Canis lupus familiaris: one gene and its partner. The protein of the gene in region 1 purifies or fractionates together with the protein of each later gene. This does not show direct contact. Links are inferred from orthologs where the notes say so. Each region holds a gene or a part of one and is shown on either strand. Other genes may lie near its edges.

The links. The genes of interacting proteins can lie anywhere in the genome.
Region 2: the proteins of USP4 (region 1) and EDC3 purify together in Homo sapiens (co-immunoprecipitation; 3 studies listed by BioGRID and IntAct, with this or other methods). This does not show direct contact. The link is inferred for Canis lupus familiaris from reciprocal best matches to the Homo sapiens genes USP4 and EDC3.

The regions. Positions count from the first base shown.
Region 1 is NC_049241.1:40,304,005-40,312,399, forward strand, and holds the start of USP4 (ubiquitin carboxyl-terminal hydrolase 4), read left to right. Parts: upstream 1-2,945; 5' UTR 2,946-3,002; coding exon 3,003-3,103; intron 3,104-5,811; coding exon 5,812-5,939; intron 5,940-8,395.
Region 2 is NC_049251.1:38,155,948-38,163,787, reverse strand, and holds the end of EDC3 (enhancer of mRNA-decapping protein 3), read left to right. Parts: intron 1-2,252; coding exon 2,253-2,605; 3' UTR 2,606-5,275; coding exon of another isoform or gene 5,276-5,452; 3' UTR 5,453-5,474; coding exon of another isoform or gene 5,475-5,636; 3' UTR 5,637-5,968; coding exon of another isoform or gene 5,969-6,059; 3' UTR 6,060-6,337; coding exon of another isoform or gene 6,338-6,417; 3' UTR 6,418-6,899; coding exon of another isoform or gene 6,900-6,982; 3' UTR 6,983-7,205; coding exon of another isoform or gene 7,206-7,335; 3' UTR 7,336-7,415; downstream 7,416-7,840. Other genes in the region: dual specificity protein kinase CLK3, read right to left, coding at 5,276-5,452, 5,969-6,059, 6,338-6,417, 6,900-6,982, 7,206-7,335, 7,416-7,510. UniProt on the Homo sapiens protein: Binds single-stranded RNA. Involved in the process of mRNA degradation and in the positive regulation of mRNA decapping. May play a role in spermiogenesis and oogenesis.

The DNA of each region.
Region 1 (8,395 bases):
TTAGAGCAAGATTTTTACAGCCATTTAATAGCACTGAAGAGATCCTGCCTTAAAAAGTTTTCATATTTATAATTAGGTTTTGGCCCCTTTTCTAGTGGTGCTGAGGACTTGTCCTACTTCCTTAAGACTCTGACCCATGCCATAAATGGTATAGGAGAAACTGCTAAAAAAAGAAGAGAGAAGTAGACACCCTGTAATGTAGGTTCTGAAGTCATGTCGATAACCCAGCTTTCTTTTTCCATAAATAACAGGGCTAAAGGTGGTGTTTCTCATTTAACAACATTTTTAACATTTTCTTTTTTTTAAATGTTTTTTAAAGATTTTATTTATTTATTCATAGAGATGCAGAGAGAGAGAGAGAGAGGTAGAGACACAGAGGGAGAAGCAGGCTCCATGCAGAGAGCCTGACATGGGACTCGATCCAGGGTCTCCAGATCACGCCCTGGGTTGCAGGTGGCGCTAAACCGCTGCGCCACCAGGGTTGCCCCATTTTTAACATTTTCAAATAACTTTCACAGAAGGGCACTCAGGTTGTAAAGGTCGGCTCCCCAGATGCAGAATTATCACGTGGTGGTAATTCTTATCTGCGGAGGATTAACTGCTATGAAGTTATTCAGTTACTCAAGACAGTTTTATTTCCAAATTTACTTTTCTTCTCCTAGCTACCCAACTCCCAAGAGGCCTGTGTTACCAGAGGGTACCTGAGGGGTGTCCCAGGTAGCGTGTATTCTTTTTTTTTTTTTTTTTAATTTTTATTTATGATAGTCACACAGAGAGAGAGAGAGAGAGAGGCAGAGACATAGGCAGAGGGAGGAGCAGGCTTATTGCACCGGGAGCCCGACGTGGGATTCGATCCCGGGTCTCCAGGATCACGCCTTGGGCCAAAGGCAGGCGCCAAACCACCGTGCCACCCAGGGATCCCAGGTAGCGTGTATTCGATTCATGCTAATTTCAATTAGCCAAAACCCAGGATAAAAATAGTAAATCTGCTCAAATGACCTACCACACCTTCACCTAGCCAGTGATCCCTCCTCCATCCCCAACACTGAACATGGCTCATCTGTTTCTCCTTCCTCATTGCCATCTCTCTAGTTAAAGGTTCCTAATAGGTCTCTTCTCAGCTTCAGCTAGTTTGTCTCTGATCCAAAACCTTTTACAATATCTGGGGGGCATTTATTTATTTTTATTTTTTAAAGATTTTACTTATTTATTCATGAGAGACAGAGAGAGGCAGAGACACAGGCAGAGGGAAAAGCAGGCTTCTCTGTGGGTGAGCCTGATGTGGGACTCAATCCCAGGACCCTGGGATCACAACCGGAGCCAAAGGCAGATGCTCAATCACTGACCCACCCCGGCATCCCTCTGTGAGCCATTTAAAGCAGAATATATGGCCTTTCTGGCCTCTGTTTTAGCTTTAGATAAAAGGTTCTTTCCACTACTCTGTGCCCAGTTTAATTTCTAATCCTTAATCTTTGGTTCTGCCCTACTTGTTCCAGAAATTGACTCCTGTAGTTTCCCTCCTTGTAACATGCACCTCCAATTTCTATGCTTCTTAAAGCCACACTCAAGGGGGCACCTGGGTGCTCAGGTTGTGATCCAGCAGGGCCTGGGATAGAGTCCTGCATCAGTCTCCCTGTGTGGAGCCTGTTCTGTCTCTCTCTGTGTGTCTCATGAATAAATAAAATCTTAAATAAAAATAAAACCACACTCAAATGCTACCAAGTCAAACTTGCCCTTTCACAACTCTAGGGGTCTACAGTCTTTGGTTCATACCCTTTCATGGCACTTACCTATACCATACAGTGCTTGATGCTGGGGTTATTTACGGAAGATCTCTTCTCCATTAGTTTGAAATCAGGCACTGTGACATTTTTTGGGGCAGGAACTGCTAGAAAATGAATGGTGACTCATCAAGGCCAGCTGCCCGGTCTCCCTGCTCTGGGCTTACTTCCCACTCCATGAGGCGAGCTGTGCTTTTTGTATGCAGGGCTGAGTGGAAGACACATAGTGTTCAGGATACTGAATCTTGTTGCAGCAACAAATTATTATTATCATTACTTTTAAAGATTTTAATTATTTATTCATGAGAGACAGAGAAGCAGAGACACAGGCAGAGGGAGAAGCAGGCTCCATGCAGGGAGCCCGTTGAGGGACTCGATCCTCAGACTCCAGGATCACGCCCTGGGCCAAAGGCAGGTGCCAAACCACTGGACCACCCAGGCGTCCCTGTAGCAACAAATTAAGCAGCAACTTGGGCACCTAATGTGGAGAACACACCCAGATCTCTCCTTCTAACCTCGCTGCTATCGCCACTCAGCGGCTGCTTGTTTCCCTGACAAGGCAAGCAGCTAGCTGTGTGGAGGGCTTGGGTTATTCGGTCGTGGGCCATGATTCTTGCGTCTAGACTGTTTGAAAGGAGTGTTAATGACTAGATTAGACCGTCGAGTCCCGGTCCCAAGGCGCAGGTATACCTGCACTCTCCAATATCCCTGCAGGGCTTCCAGGACCGGCACCCGGATCCCCCGTTTGGAAGGCTAAGGACTGGCCTAAGATCTCCAGCTCAAAGCAAGAAAAGCTAGTTCCAGGGCTTCTCGCAACTGGCCCTGGGTTGATCTAGAAAGCAGGCTAACACCGTGGGCCTGGACGGGGTGCCTGAGGGGTCAAGGGGACTACGGTCAGGTGCCTAGAGATCGCCGGGCTCGACGAAGGGATGCAAGTCAGCCCACCTCGCGGCCCCCAGGGCGGCAGAAAGGGCCCGCACGTTTGCCAGTACCCACCTCCTCCTCCGGCCCCCTCCCGGCTCCGCCCCGCACGGGTGGGGAAGGGCCGCACGTGATAGGGAGAAAAGGCAGAAACAGGCGAGCGGACATTCGAGGCCGCGGCGCTAGGTGGGGCTTGGGTACGCGCGCGCATGCGTGCGTGCGTGCGTGCGTGGGCGTGGCCCACAGCACGCCGTGCGCGAGGCGGATGTCCGGGCCGGCTGGGCCGGGGCGGCTGACGAGATGGCGGAAGGTGGAGGGTACCGTGAGCGGCCTGATGCGGAGACCCAGAAATCCGAGCTCGGGGCCTTGATGAGGACCACGCTCCAACGAGGGGCGCAGTGGTGAGCACCGGGCCAGCCTTTCCGCCGCCCAGACCCAGAGGCAGGGGCTCTGGTCCTTAGGCCAGACCTCTCTTTCCCGGCTTGGATAGGGGCCGGGTGGGGGCGGTGTTAGTGACCCTGAGAGGGTGTCCTGAACCTTGTCTCTCAGAAGAGGACCCGTAGAAGCACCTCAGGGAAAGTGTGAGGGTTATCCTTGCCCTTTCGGAGCCCCAGAGGGCGGACCCGGTGGGGGGTAGGGGCTACAGGGTGGGGGAAGGGGCGTGCTCACGGGGACCTTCAGGATGGGAAGAGCCCCTTACCTTCGAGGACTCTCTGTGTGACCTTGAGGGAAGGCGACCACACCTCCCAGACCTCGGTACCTTACTATTAAAGCCAGGGTAACAGTATTTGGCATCCCCACGTTATGGGTTGAGAAGAACATCAGAAGTAGATACTTTTGTAACTTGTAAATTCTCGAACAGATGTCAAGGTTAGAAGTTGAACAAATGTTTGAAAGCTCCGGGTTACTTTGGTAGCAAGTGTCAAAAATAATTGTGGCAGCAGCGTTTCAGTGTGGGGGAGGAGGATAACTTAGAGCCTAGATAAGAAGGTGAAAAGTCCATGGTTTAGAAGAGCAAATCTGAGACAGTAGGCTTCTTAATAAATTAGTAGAAAGGACAGTTCTTCCACTAGTGAAGAGATTCCTGGGTGGTATTATTGTGTGGGAGTAGAAAGCTAAGGCTTAGATTTGCATCGAATATGATTGAACATCGAATCTTTAAGAAATTAGGTGGTGTTTATGCTACTTAAGGTAATTGAGCAGGAAAGGGAAACATTTGGATTAGGAGGAATTCAGATAGGGCTGTACAGCAGGGCAAGCAGAAGTTATCCTGCTTCGGAGTGATAGATGAAGAATATGTGGCAAGATCAGAGAGAGGATGTTTCAGATAGTCTAAGGTCACACTAAAAGTGTTTGGAGAGTATTGTTCAAGGGGTTTAGAGGGAGGAACACCTGGGTGTTTCAGCGGTTGAGCATCTGCCTTCGGCTCAGGGTGAGATCCTGTAGACACGGGATGGAGTCCCACATCAGGCTCCGTGCAGGGAGCCTGCTTCTCCCTCTGCCAGTGTCTTTGCCTCTCTTTCTCTGTCTCTCACGAATAAATGAAATCTTAAAAAAAAAAAAAAAAAAAGTGGGAGGGGGGTTTTGGAGGGAAAAGAGCATTTTTTAAAAAAGATTTTATTTATTTCTTAGAGCGAGGCAGAGACACAGGCAGAGAAGCAGGCTCCGCCCACACAGGGAGCCTGATGTAGGACTCGATTCCAGATCCCAGGATCATGCCCTGAACCAAAGGCAGATGCTCAATCACTGAGCCACCTAGGTGTCCAGGAAAGGAGCATTTTAAAGATTTGGGTGTATATATAGATCCTTGTGGCTTTTGGGAAGCTACCTGATCATTCAGGTTTGTTTTTTATAAAACCTAAAGGACTTTGGGATACCTGAGTGGCTCAATCAGTTTTAAGCGCCTTGCTTCACCTTGGGTCATGATCCTGGGGTCCTGGGATTATCCCTGCATCAGGCTCCCTGTTCAGCAGGGGGTCTGCCTCTCCCTCTTCCCCTCCCCCTGCTTGTGAACTCTCAAGTGCTCTCTCTTAAATGAATAGATAGACAAAATCTTTAAAAAAAAAAAAACAAAAAACCTTGAAGGATTCACCAATATGATTGTTGTGCTTCCCCCCCCCCACAAAGATTTACTCCTCCTCTCTTAATTGTAAAACATCATAGTGATACTTTTTAAAAATTTTTTCATAGTGATACTTTTAAAAGTTAACTTGTCTGTCCTAGACAAGAACTTCTATAAAGATCATTTGAAAAAAAAAAAAAGATCATTTGAAATTACTGAATTACTCATTAGTGAACAGGAATTTACTCATAGGAGGACTTCATTTAAATAAGCTTGAATCCAAAAATAAATAAATAAATAAATAAATAAATAAGCTTGAATCCAATAATTTCCTTTCATTTATTTATTCATTTATTTATTTATTCTTTTTTTTTTTTTTTTTTTTTTTTAAGTAGATTCCATACCCAGTTGTAGAGTGCTGTGTAGGGCTTGAACTCACAACTCTGAGATCAGGACTTGATTTGAGACCAATAATTGGATGCTTAAGCAACTGAGCCACCCGAGCACCTCTCATTCTTTTCTTTTTCTTTCTTTCTTTTTTTTTTTTTTTTTTTAAAGACTTTATTTATTCATGAGACAGAGAGAGAGGCAGGTTCCATGCAGGAAGTCTGACGTGACTCGATCCCAGGTTTCCAGGATCACACCCTGGCCTGAAGGCAGTATAAACCGCTGAGCCACTTGGGCTGCCTGAGAGTGTTTTTATTTTTTTTATTTTTTATTTATTTAAAAAAAATTTTTTTTTTTTTAAATTTATTTATGATAGTCACAGAGAGAGAGAGAGAGAGAGAGGCAGAGACACAGGCAGAGGGAGAAGCAGGCTCCATGCACCGGGAGCCTGATGTGGGATTCGATCCCGGGTCTCCAGGATCGCGCCCTGGGCCAAAGGCAGGCGCCAAACCACTGCGCCACCCAGGGATCCCGAGAGTGTGTTTTTAAATGGGAATTGTGTGTTCTCCAGGTGGAAAGACCATAAAAAATTTAAAGGAGCAACTGCAGAAACTCAGAATCTCAGTTTTTCTGGCATAGTAAATTTTTATCTCTGTCTAGGTATCTTATTGACAGCCGGTGGTTCAAGCAGTGGAAGAAGTATGTGGGTTTCGACAGCTGGGATATGTACAATGTGGGTGAACACAATCTGTTTCCTGGCCCGATAGATAACTCTGGACTCTTCTCAGGTATATTATCCTATTGCTTTTCTAAGTGAAATAACCACCTAAGCAGTGGCCTGAGGTCATATTTATCATTAACATGAAGTTGTGAACCTAACTTTCCTACTGTGATGGATTAGAAACAAGTGTCCTTGATTTGAGTCAATAGCAGAAATCTTTGTAGACCCTCAGGGAGAAGTTAAACTATTTTTCCCCAAACTTAACTGCTTCAGGCAGAAGCATGCTTCTAACATTTTTCTTTTGCAAATTAGTTTTGCTAGAGATGTCAGATTTTATATTAATTAGATGTGGAATGGAAAGAAGTAGGATATCATTTTGAAATTGCATCTGGAATCTGAAATTTGGGTACTATAATTTTTTGTGTTATCTTTTTAGTGGAACAAATTGCACACCTGTCTACATCCATCAAGCATTCCCATGATAGTAGTTTGTCATAGGAGTAGTGTGAAGAGAGGTGGAAGGTAGAGTTATTAACACCGTCACATTGGAAGAAGTGATTGAAAAGATTAGCATGACATACCAGAGCTGGGCTAGTACCTATAGATGCATAGATAAGACAATTGATCTTTCCTGGGCTGTGTTTTGCCTAGCTTTAGACTCCTTTGCAAGCAGGACAGAGCTGATCTATTGATTGTGCCCAAGACGGGGAGTAGGAAGGCAGACAATGTATGAGGCTTGATCCAAGTACTTTTTTTTTTTTTTTTTAATTTTTATTTATTTATGATAGTCACACAGAGAGAGAGAGAGAGGCAGAGACACAGGCAGAGGGAGAAGCAGGCTCCATGCACCGGGAGCCCAACGTGGGACTCGATCCCAGGTCTCCAGGATCACGCCCTGGGCCAAAGGCAGGCGCCAAACCGCTGCGCCACCCAGGGATCCCCTTGATCCAAGTACTTAACGCTAACCTGGGTGTTTTTAAAAATGAGCAGTTCTTCAAATCAGACTTGTTTTAGGGGAGGTCTTAGTGGCATAATAATTCATGTGCTTTGTTTCCTGATGATGTAGGTCAGATGGTGTCATCACATCATGAAGTTGGCCTGAGGGAGCATGGGATTGTGTGTACATTCTCTCCCCCCTCCCTTTATTTTTTTAAGTAACCTCTAACCCACGTGAGGCTTGAACTCATGACCCTGAGATTGCTCTACTGACTGAGCCAGGCAGGTCCTCCTCTTTTTTTTTTTTTTTTTTAAATAACAGATTTCTTAATGCTTTTAAGAATACTAGTGATTTGAATTCTAGGGCTAGAGGGGCTCTGTGAAATCATTTTGCATGACCTTCAGTAAGGGCAAGCATTTCTTCCATGGTCCTCCATTTTTATGTCATTTGGCTATGGCTTGAAATATTTACTGTGTGCTTAGGAGGTGAGAAGTGCATTCTGTTCAGACCCTGCTTGGAACATTGACAGTGCAGGAATGACCTATCTCTGGTGAGATAGGTTACCCCCTTAGTTCCCAGACTCAGTCCCCTGTCCCAGTCAGGCTGCCTTTCACCTAGAGAATGGAAGTGGCTGGATGGGACTCTTGAAAGTGTAGGAAGGATAGGGTACAGCATACCCTTGCTTATGTTGGTCTGCAGAGCACCCTTCTTTCCACCTCTGTACCTGCTGTATATCAGATGGAATCCCTGTGTGTAGGCCAAGCAGTGCTCTCACTCCCCCCCCTTATTTGCCTCTGTTGAAGAAATTTGCAGAGACTAAATCCTCATTCTCAAACCTTTGTGTGATTCTGAGCATGATGCCTTTAGACTGATCTTGTTTCAAGTGAAAATAGTAAACTTCATTGGGAATTCCCAGCCATGTTTCCTATATTTGTACTGAGTCTAGAAGAGTGACGTGGGTGAAAATCATCACAGAGCCTTAAAGAGGAAAATGCCCCGTGGAAATGATGCACTTGGTGTTGGTGGTGCTGAGAGATGCATGCCCCTTTCCCACATTTAAGGGTTTCTAGCCACTGCTTGACACTGTGTGTAATGCCCTTATCTGCATAGTGCTTATTGTTAGAAATGAAGAAGAGTATCTCCCCAAGTTAGACAAGAAGTGAATAACTTCTGTGGGTTTTAATTTATAAATCAGAGAAAAGTTTGGAATTTTCCAAAAGTTTGGAAAGTTTGGTGTCAATTTTGTCAAGCAGAATGATACCAGGGGATCATCCTTTTATTGCTCACCAAAAAAGGCCTGGTTTATTGGTGTTAATAATCATGCCAGAGCTGCTGTGGAAAGTGGTTGGCTCATCAATGAAAAGGATCCATCTATTTTTTATCATTATTATTATTATTTTTAAAGATTTTATTTATTCACGAGAGAGAGAGGCAGGCAGAGACACAGGCAGAGGGAGAAGCAGGCTCCATGTAGGGAGCCCAACCCGGGACTCGATCCTGGGACTCCAGGATTATGCCCTGGGCCGAAGGCAGGAGCTAAACTGCTGAGCCACCCAGGGATCCCCTATGATTATTATGATTATTAT
Region 2 (7,840 bases), on another chromosome or scaffold:
TAGGCCAGATGGTGGTGTTATGGAGAAAAGTAGGGGAGGGAGCTAGAAAGGGTTGGAGGGTTGGGTAGGGAGTAGCTAACTTAGGCGTTGAGGGTCAAGTTGTATAGGGCCTGCAGGTCAATGTTAAGGGTTTGAACTTTACCGTGGCTGAGATGGTGGGTCACTGGAGGAATAAGTAGAAGGAAGATAGAATCCAGCTCAGGTCCCAGTGATCATGGGTTGCTGTTTGAGAAGAGACTAGAGGTTTACAAAGAGAAGTGTTGAGAGGCTATTGTGATAAACTGGGAGGAGATGCTGGGGACTGAGACAGTGGTAGTGGTAGAAGAGGTGAAGCAGGGTTAGTTTCTAAGTTTTGGAGCTAGAGGCTGCAGCCTCGTTGTAAGGTATATGACACGGGAGGATTATATGACACTCCAAGGTGTTTGGCCTGAGTCACCAGAAGGATGGAAGTGCCATCCTGAAATGGGAAGATTTGTGGGAGGAGGAGCAGAAAGTCGGAGGTACCTGTTGGATAAGCAGGTATAACTGTTGCCTGATACAGAGAAGTCCACAGGTACGTGAAGGGGTCTGGTCTGGAGTACCGGGTGTGTAGGCAGGAATGAGCCCTAGTGAGCCTGGGTAGGCTATCTCCTAGGAAGGGGTAGGGAAGTTGTTTTTTTTTTTTTTTTTTTTTTTTTTTTTTTAATTTTTATTTATTTATGATAGTCACAGAGAGAGAGAGAGGCACAGAGACACAGGCAGAGGGAGAAGCAGGCTCCATGCACCGGGAGCCCGACGTGGGATTCGATCCCGGGTCTCCAGGATCGCGCCCTGGGCCAAAGGCAGGCGCCAAACCGCTGCGCCACCCAGGGATCCCTGGGTAGGGAAGTTGTGAGACTCAGTTCTTTGTTTAGAAGTCAGGGAGTTGAGAGAGCAACTCAGGAGATGGGGAAGGAAGTGGTCAGTGAGGGAGAAGGAAAAGCAGGAGAGCCGGATACCTGAAGGCAAGTGAAGAGGGTGCGGTCGGCTCTGCCAGCAAGCCGCTCTAGGTTAGGCTTAGGTGAAGTCTGGGAATCGACCACTGGATCTAACTGTGTGGAAGCCCCTGATAATCTGGACCAGAGCAGTTTCAAGGGCCGGCGGGGAAGGGAGGGTAGGGACAACAAAGTGATTGGAATGGGTTTTAGTGAGAGCAGGGCAGGAGGAGAAGAGAGAAGAAATAATGAAGAAGGCCCTTGCTGGGGTTCAGATGGCAGGTTGAGGCCAGACCCTGGGCCATAACTTCTGTCTCCTTCCAGCCAGCCTCCTGTGTGCACGTGGAAGGTAAGACCCTCTCTTACTGTTGAAAGCCTCCTGGCCCCCAGGGACATCCCTGCCCCCTTCTTCATGGTACTCTAAGTAAGGAAGCCATGAGTCCCTAATTAAGAAATCTCATTACTTTAGCCAGGAAGGGGGTCTGGCGTGGGTTCCGTAGCTTGAGATCTGTAACACGATACCGTGTTATAGGCAGTTCATCCTCTGGCTACCCAAAAGCCTTCCTATTTCAATTCCAGGAGCCAAGTCTGAAGATGCTGATCTTGAGTTGGTCTGATTTCTCCTCTTCTCCAATTACCCTCTTAAGCTGGTCAAGACTTACATAGTTGTTGAGACATCTGTTCTTATGCCGCCTGAGAGGCGTGGTTTGATCAGAGAAACTTTTTTAAATGCCTGGAGAAGTGGTCGATTCCTTCCCTATCCCTCAGAGTGGGCTGCAAGGAGAGCCCATTTTCATGAGGTGGGGCGGGGTGCAGCAAAGCCGGGCTGGCTCCTGTCCGGTGAGGCGGCTAGCTCGAGGTAGAGTAAATAGGTGCGTTCTGGCCTGCTTCCAGTTCTTGGGCCAGCCAGCAAATGACAGTCAGCCCATTTCTTCTGGGCTCTGGGCAGGGCTCCCTGTGAGGGCTGATTTGGCAGTCAGCGCCCCATTCTCAGAGCTCATAGTGTACCAGGGAGTTAGTTGGATGTGCATCTGCTGTTCCTGGAGATGGCCTGCATGGCCAGCAGGATGCTACTTCAGCCTGGGGACTCCGTGAGGACAATGGTCCACTGGGCTGACATGCCCTCAGTCTCTGGTGCCTAGGCCAACCGGGCCGCAGAGGTCCAGAGGCCTGGCCCAGCCTTGAGAAAGCCAGCCTGTGGCAAGTCCTTGGAGTGGTGTCAGGACAAGACACCCTTGGGGCCATCTGGGTTCCAGTCCCCACCTGGGCTGCTCTCTGCTTATAGCGATTCCCATATAGTGCTCTTTTCTCCCGCAGATCTGCCCACTAGCCCTGTGGATCTAGTGATCAACTGCCTGGACTGCCCCGAAAATGCCTTCCTGCGGGACCAGCCCTGGTACAAGGCAGCTGTGGCCTGGGCCAACCGGAACCGGGCGCCAGTGCTCAGCATAGACCCTCCTGTGCATGAAGGCGAACAGGGCATCGACGCCAAGTGGTCACTGGCCCTGGGCCTGCCTCTGCCACTGGGGGAGCGTGCAGGCCGCATCTACTTGTGCGACATCGGCCTCCCCCAGCAGGTATTCCAGGAGGTGGGCATCAGCTACCACTCCCCCTTTGGCTGCAAGTTTGTCATTCCATTGCACTCGGCCTAGAGGGGCTCTGGGCAAATTAGACCCTGCGGTCCCCTGCTGCTCCGGACACACTGAACTTGACAACGAACGCCTTAAGGATGTGAAGCTTCATGGACCTTGTTAAATTTTTTCGCTTTTGGATTTGTTACTTCTGTGAGAGAACAGATCATATTTAAAAATGACCTGTCACCTGCCTGTAGCCAGGGCAGGTGTGTGGGTGTGCTGGGTGGGCAGCAGGCTGAGTGGTTCTAGGCATCTCGACCCTTGGCCCCCTGCGTGGCTGGATGGGGCTTTGTTTACAGACTTAGGCAGCTCACTCACGGACTGTGTTTCAGGTTTACAGTCACTGGGGCCTGAGCAAGCACCTTGAGGGGTGGGGCGGGTCCTGTTTGGGGCCCTGTACTTGCTTTGGCTCCGTGTCCCCTGCTTCTGCACCCCCCCACCCCCTTCTGATCATGTCAAACTGGCTGTGCTGCAGCTGCCCCGCTAGAGGGCAGACTCGCACTCCGTTCCTGGCGAGGGCTTGGAGGCGGCCTTCCCAGAGTCCTGTCGCAAGTTGATTTAGGGGCTGATTTGGAGGCTTTTGACCCTTTCTCCTGAGCTGATGCAAGTTTTATGCTGGGATTTTTTTCAAGGGTCTTTCTTCCTTTCCACTCCATCACGCTGAGAGGCAGGAAAGGGGGTGGCATCAGGATGGTTTTACTGTATTGGGATTTTATACTGTTTTTCTGTTTTCTGCATACGTAGTATGAGGTTATGTTACTGTAGAACCACAGTGCCCATCTTGCCAGCAGTGCCCCCCAGCCCCATACCCTCTCTAGCTGGGGCCAGAGCCCTCAGGGTGCAGCTTTAATGTTCAGTATTGGGGAGGTCCCTGGGGGAGCCTGGTGCTGAGCCAGAAGAGGCTCCCTGGTGCTTCTGTGTCTTAGGCCACCACTACCTTGCCCCTACCTCCTTGCCTGCACATATGCCCCCCCTTTCTTCTGCCCCCATTTTCCCCTGAAATGGTCCTCTGCAGCTATTGTCCCAGAGCAGGACACAAGTCCCTCCCATCTAGGCTCTGAACCCTTTTTGATTGTCCACTCTAGATGAGTAGGCTTGGGGCCAGCGCCCTCTCAAAGATGCCAAAATGAGGCTAGTTCTAGATGAGCTAGCTGGTGGGTCTCAGCCATAGGAACACATTGCTGCTCAGATCCTAAGGCAGGAAAGCCCTTGGACCTCACATGATTAGGCCTTGGAGGCTGGTTTCAGAACACGAGCCATACCCTAGAGTACCTGCCAGGGGCCCTTGCAAAAAGCTCATGCTCTAAAGCCGTTTTCAGGGCTTCAGGCTTCTGCTTTCTGCCCACTCACTCTGGTTAAGGGGGTGAGTGGGAGGGCTCGCCAAGGAATATGGACACAGGGTAGGCCCTGGTACCATGGATTGTCGCAGGCTACTTCCCACTTCTCATAGGAGCATAGCCAGGAGCAGATGAGGCAGGGCAGAGGGCTGGTCCCTCTTTTCCTCCCATTCTTCCTCAAATGTTAATTGTCTCCAGCAGTGGGAGGCAGCCAGAGACTGTGAGCTTTGTGTGTATCCTCCCTGAACCTCTGCTCACTCTCAGGGCCAAGAAGCTCCAAGATGGAGCCCTCTCTGTAGAGGCAGGGCCACAGTCTGAGGAGCAGTGCTGGGTTACGGGCATTTTCAGTAAGCAGCCAGTAGACTGTGGGTGCCTGCCTGTTGGTAAGCCTCCCCGCGCTGGGTACAGCGGAAGAGGAGCCTGAGGAGCCTGGCCCAGCGGACTCTGCGCTGCAGTGGGTAAGTTGCAGCAGCCCTGGGAGCGAGGGCCTGGTCAGGGGCCACGGGGAGCTTGTTCCTGGGCCTGTCTTCTCCCTGTGGGAGGCTCTGGAGCCTCCTCCTGCCCCCAGCCTGGGCCTTTCCTGGTGGTCTTAAAGATCAGCATGGTTCCTCTGCCTTCAGCTTTTTTCAGAGGCGTCCCGTCCTGTCCCCCAGTCCCCAGCCAGGTGGTCAGGACTACCACTCCTGCAGCTCTTGGGGAACCAAAAACCAGCACTTAAAATAAAGCTGAATGACGGAGGCCTGGGCTCTGGTAAATTGCTGTGCAGGCTGTGGCCTGGAGCTGCCGCCTGGGCCCAGGAGCCCAGCTGGTCAGGCCCCGTCCGCCAGCCTTCAGTCAGCCACGGCTCTTGGGCAGATACGCCCTGAAGTGCCGGCTGGCGACGGGGCCAGGAGGAGGGGAGACTGGCTACTGCCCAGCCAGGCCCCAGCGGGCCCAGCACCTCAGGGCACTTCCCCAGGGCCTGGGGCGTGGGCGGGGGGGCACCCCGCTCCTCTGGGCAGCCCAGTTCACACTTACTTAGCTCTCCACAAGCTGAACTGCTAAGAAAGACTTTATTAAGAAGGCCGGGAGTGGGGATGGCAAGGAGCCTGGAGACGGACACACTGGTACCAGGGGTTACAAACAGTAAGAAACACTTTATTATAACTTTACAACATATAAATAGCTTGGGGCAAATCTGTGCTTTCTGGCAGCTGGGCGGGCGTCAAGTCTCGTCCCCTGCAGGCTCCTGCCTTCCTTCACATTGCACTGTTCGTTGGGTGGCTCTGGCCCCGGGGCCCGGTGGTGGGGGTTGGAGAAAAGGCCGGGTGGCCCCGTCCCACTCTCCGGCTCCTGCGGTGGCCTACGCCTGTCATCTGCTCGGGTTGCGGCTGGTGTGGAAGGACCGCTCCTCAGGGGTCAGGCCAGCAAAGAAGGGGTGCAGCAGGGCCTCCGCCAGTGTGATGCGCTGGGCAGGGTCAAATTCTAACATCCTCCTCATCAGGTCAAACAGCTGCACGTGCTCCAAGGAGTCCTGGAGCATGTAACTCTGCTCAGGGACACAAGGCGCCTCAGTGTGACGGCAGGCTCGTGGGAAGCCTTGCTGCACGGGTTGAGGCGGCAGTGCCGCCTCCCTGGAGGACGACTATGCCCTCCTGACAGCAAGCGGCTCCTTTCTTTTCACGCCTGTGTAGAGCGTTTGGCGCGGTGCCTCTGCCCCCGCATGCAAAGTCCTGACAGGTGGGTAGAGATCACCTCTGCAGAATTCACAGGTCCGAGCACCGAATGCCGTTGATAGAGGCTTCCGGGCCATGTCTAGGTCCTCCCTCCCCCTCAGCCCCGCCTAGTTCTTCCCAAAACTGAGAGGAGAGAGGGCAGGAGGCAGCAGGTCTCTGACATCTGGCTCTTCTGGTGGTTCCCCAATTACATCCAGAGCCACCCTGTGGGGAGGGGCCCCTCGGCCAGCCCCCGGCAGCCTTTAGCTGCCCGGCCTGTCTCTGCTGTGTCTGCCCAGGGCCTGGGGTCTCCTCGGCAGGAGTTGAGCTGGGGGAAGCCAGGAACTGACCTTCAGAGGTTTGCAGTTCTCCTTCACATACCGGCCATCAGAGCTGTTCTCATCCCAAACCAGGCCCCCTTTGTAGAAATACTTCTGTTTCCTGAAAGTGAAAGAAAAGAAGGGGTTGATGTGGCAGGGCGACAAGTCATGGGTGGAGGTCGCAGAAGACAGTGGCAGTCGGGAGTGGCCGCGAAGCGAGGTGCAGGATCCTAGCTGGCCTGACCGAGCAGGGCGGGAATGTGTGCGCGGGTGGTTTCCCAGGTCACGCAGTGTGGTGCTCGGGAGGGAAGGCTGCTAGGAGTCTGGGGGAGCCACGACGTCCCAGGAAGACTGGCCAGTGGCCTACGGCCAGCCCGGAGGCTGCCACCAGGGCCTTACCTGGTGCGGTGGATCATGTGTGACGGGATGGGCCCTAGGATCTTCTCCATCATCACCAAGTGTTCACGGTTTTCATGGGTCTGTTGGGGTTTCGGGAATAGAGCAAGCAAGGCTCAGTGCGAGCCTCAGCCCCTCACAGGAGGTAAGGGACGGACCAAAAAAAAAAAAAAAAAAGATGGGCAAGTGTCTTCTTGCCCCCCGAGATGGGAACCCATCAGTGAGCAGTAGTCCTGGCCTCTGACCCGGTGGCAGCCGCCAGCCCCTTCTCTCAGGGTCAAGTTCGTGCCCCAGGGCCTCTCAGACCCGTCCATCAGCGAGCACCTGTCTCCAGTTCCCTTGCTCACTCCTCCCGGAACGTGCCCTGCCCTTCTCTGCACCCTCACACAGGCTGTGCCCCCCCGCCCCGTCCTCCATCTGGAGGCCAAGCGCTCCACTACGCCGACCTCAGGAGCCCGGGCATCCCACCTGTGCCGATGGGTGGGTGGTCGCGGGGCTGCCCAACCCAGCCCCTGCAGCCTGCCCAAGCAGGGCCCACGTGCTGCACCAGGGGGGGGGGCCTCACCTGAAAGAGCGTGAAGCCCCGGTAGTACTCAAAGAGAATGCAGCCGATGCTCCAGACGTCACAGGGCTGTGCCCAGCCCAGCTCTGAAAGCCAGCGTGGGGAGAGAACAGGAGACTCCGGTCACAGGTCAGCTGCCCTCCGGCTGGCAGGACTCTTGCCCAAACCCAGAGAAGACCCTTTCCCGGTGAGGTCCAGTCAGCGCCCACAGGGACACAGGCCGCTGGTGGCGGGCACCTCCCTGTCTCCAGTCCTAACCCTCCCAACAAGCCTCCGCGTGGTCAGAGTTGGGGCCACACGGTCACTCACCAAGAATCACCTCAGGTGGGCGATAGTGACGGGTGGCCACGATGGTCGTGTGGTGCTCGTGGTCAAAGGTAGCACTGCCGAAGTCAGCCACTCGGATGCTGGTGTTCTTCACCGACTTCTCCTCGCAGCTCTGAGGCAAGGGAGTCGGGTCAGGAGTCTGACCAGCGGGTGACCCACCCCAGAGCAGGTCTTGCCTCTCCCGACCCGTACCTTGTGCTCATTGTAGAGGGTTTCAAACTCCGAATTCACAAACAAGATGTTCTCTGGCTTCAAGTCTGTGTGGGTCAGTTGGTTTTCGTGTAGAACTGGGGAGGCAAGGGCGGAAGGAGCCGGGCCTTGAGAACCTGGCTGCCCTCGGGCCCCCGCCAGCCGCAGACCAGGCCGGCCGGGCTTCCCTGACTTCTCTGTGCTTGCGGCCCTGCCTGGCTCCGAGTCTTACCAGAGGGGCAGGCACGGACACCCTCCCTTTAGAGAACCTCCCTCCACCTCCTGGGTGGAGGCCCGGCCTCCTCGGCCCGTCTCCCCGAAGCTGCAGCGTCAGCTGGTGGGGGGGGGGGGGCTTCTCTCCCCAGCACCAGCTGCGGTACTGGCGGCGGGCCAGGGGCAAATTGGGAAAAAGTCACTAAGTATCAAGA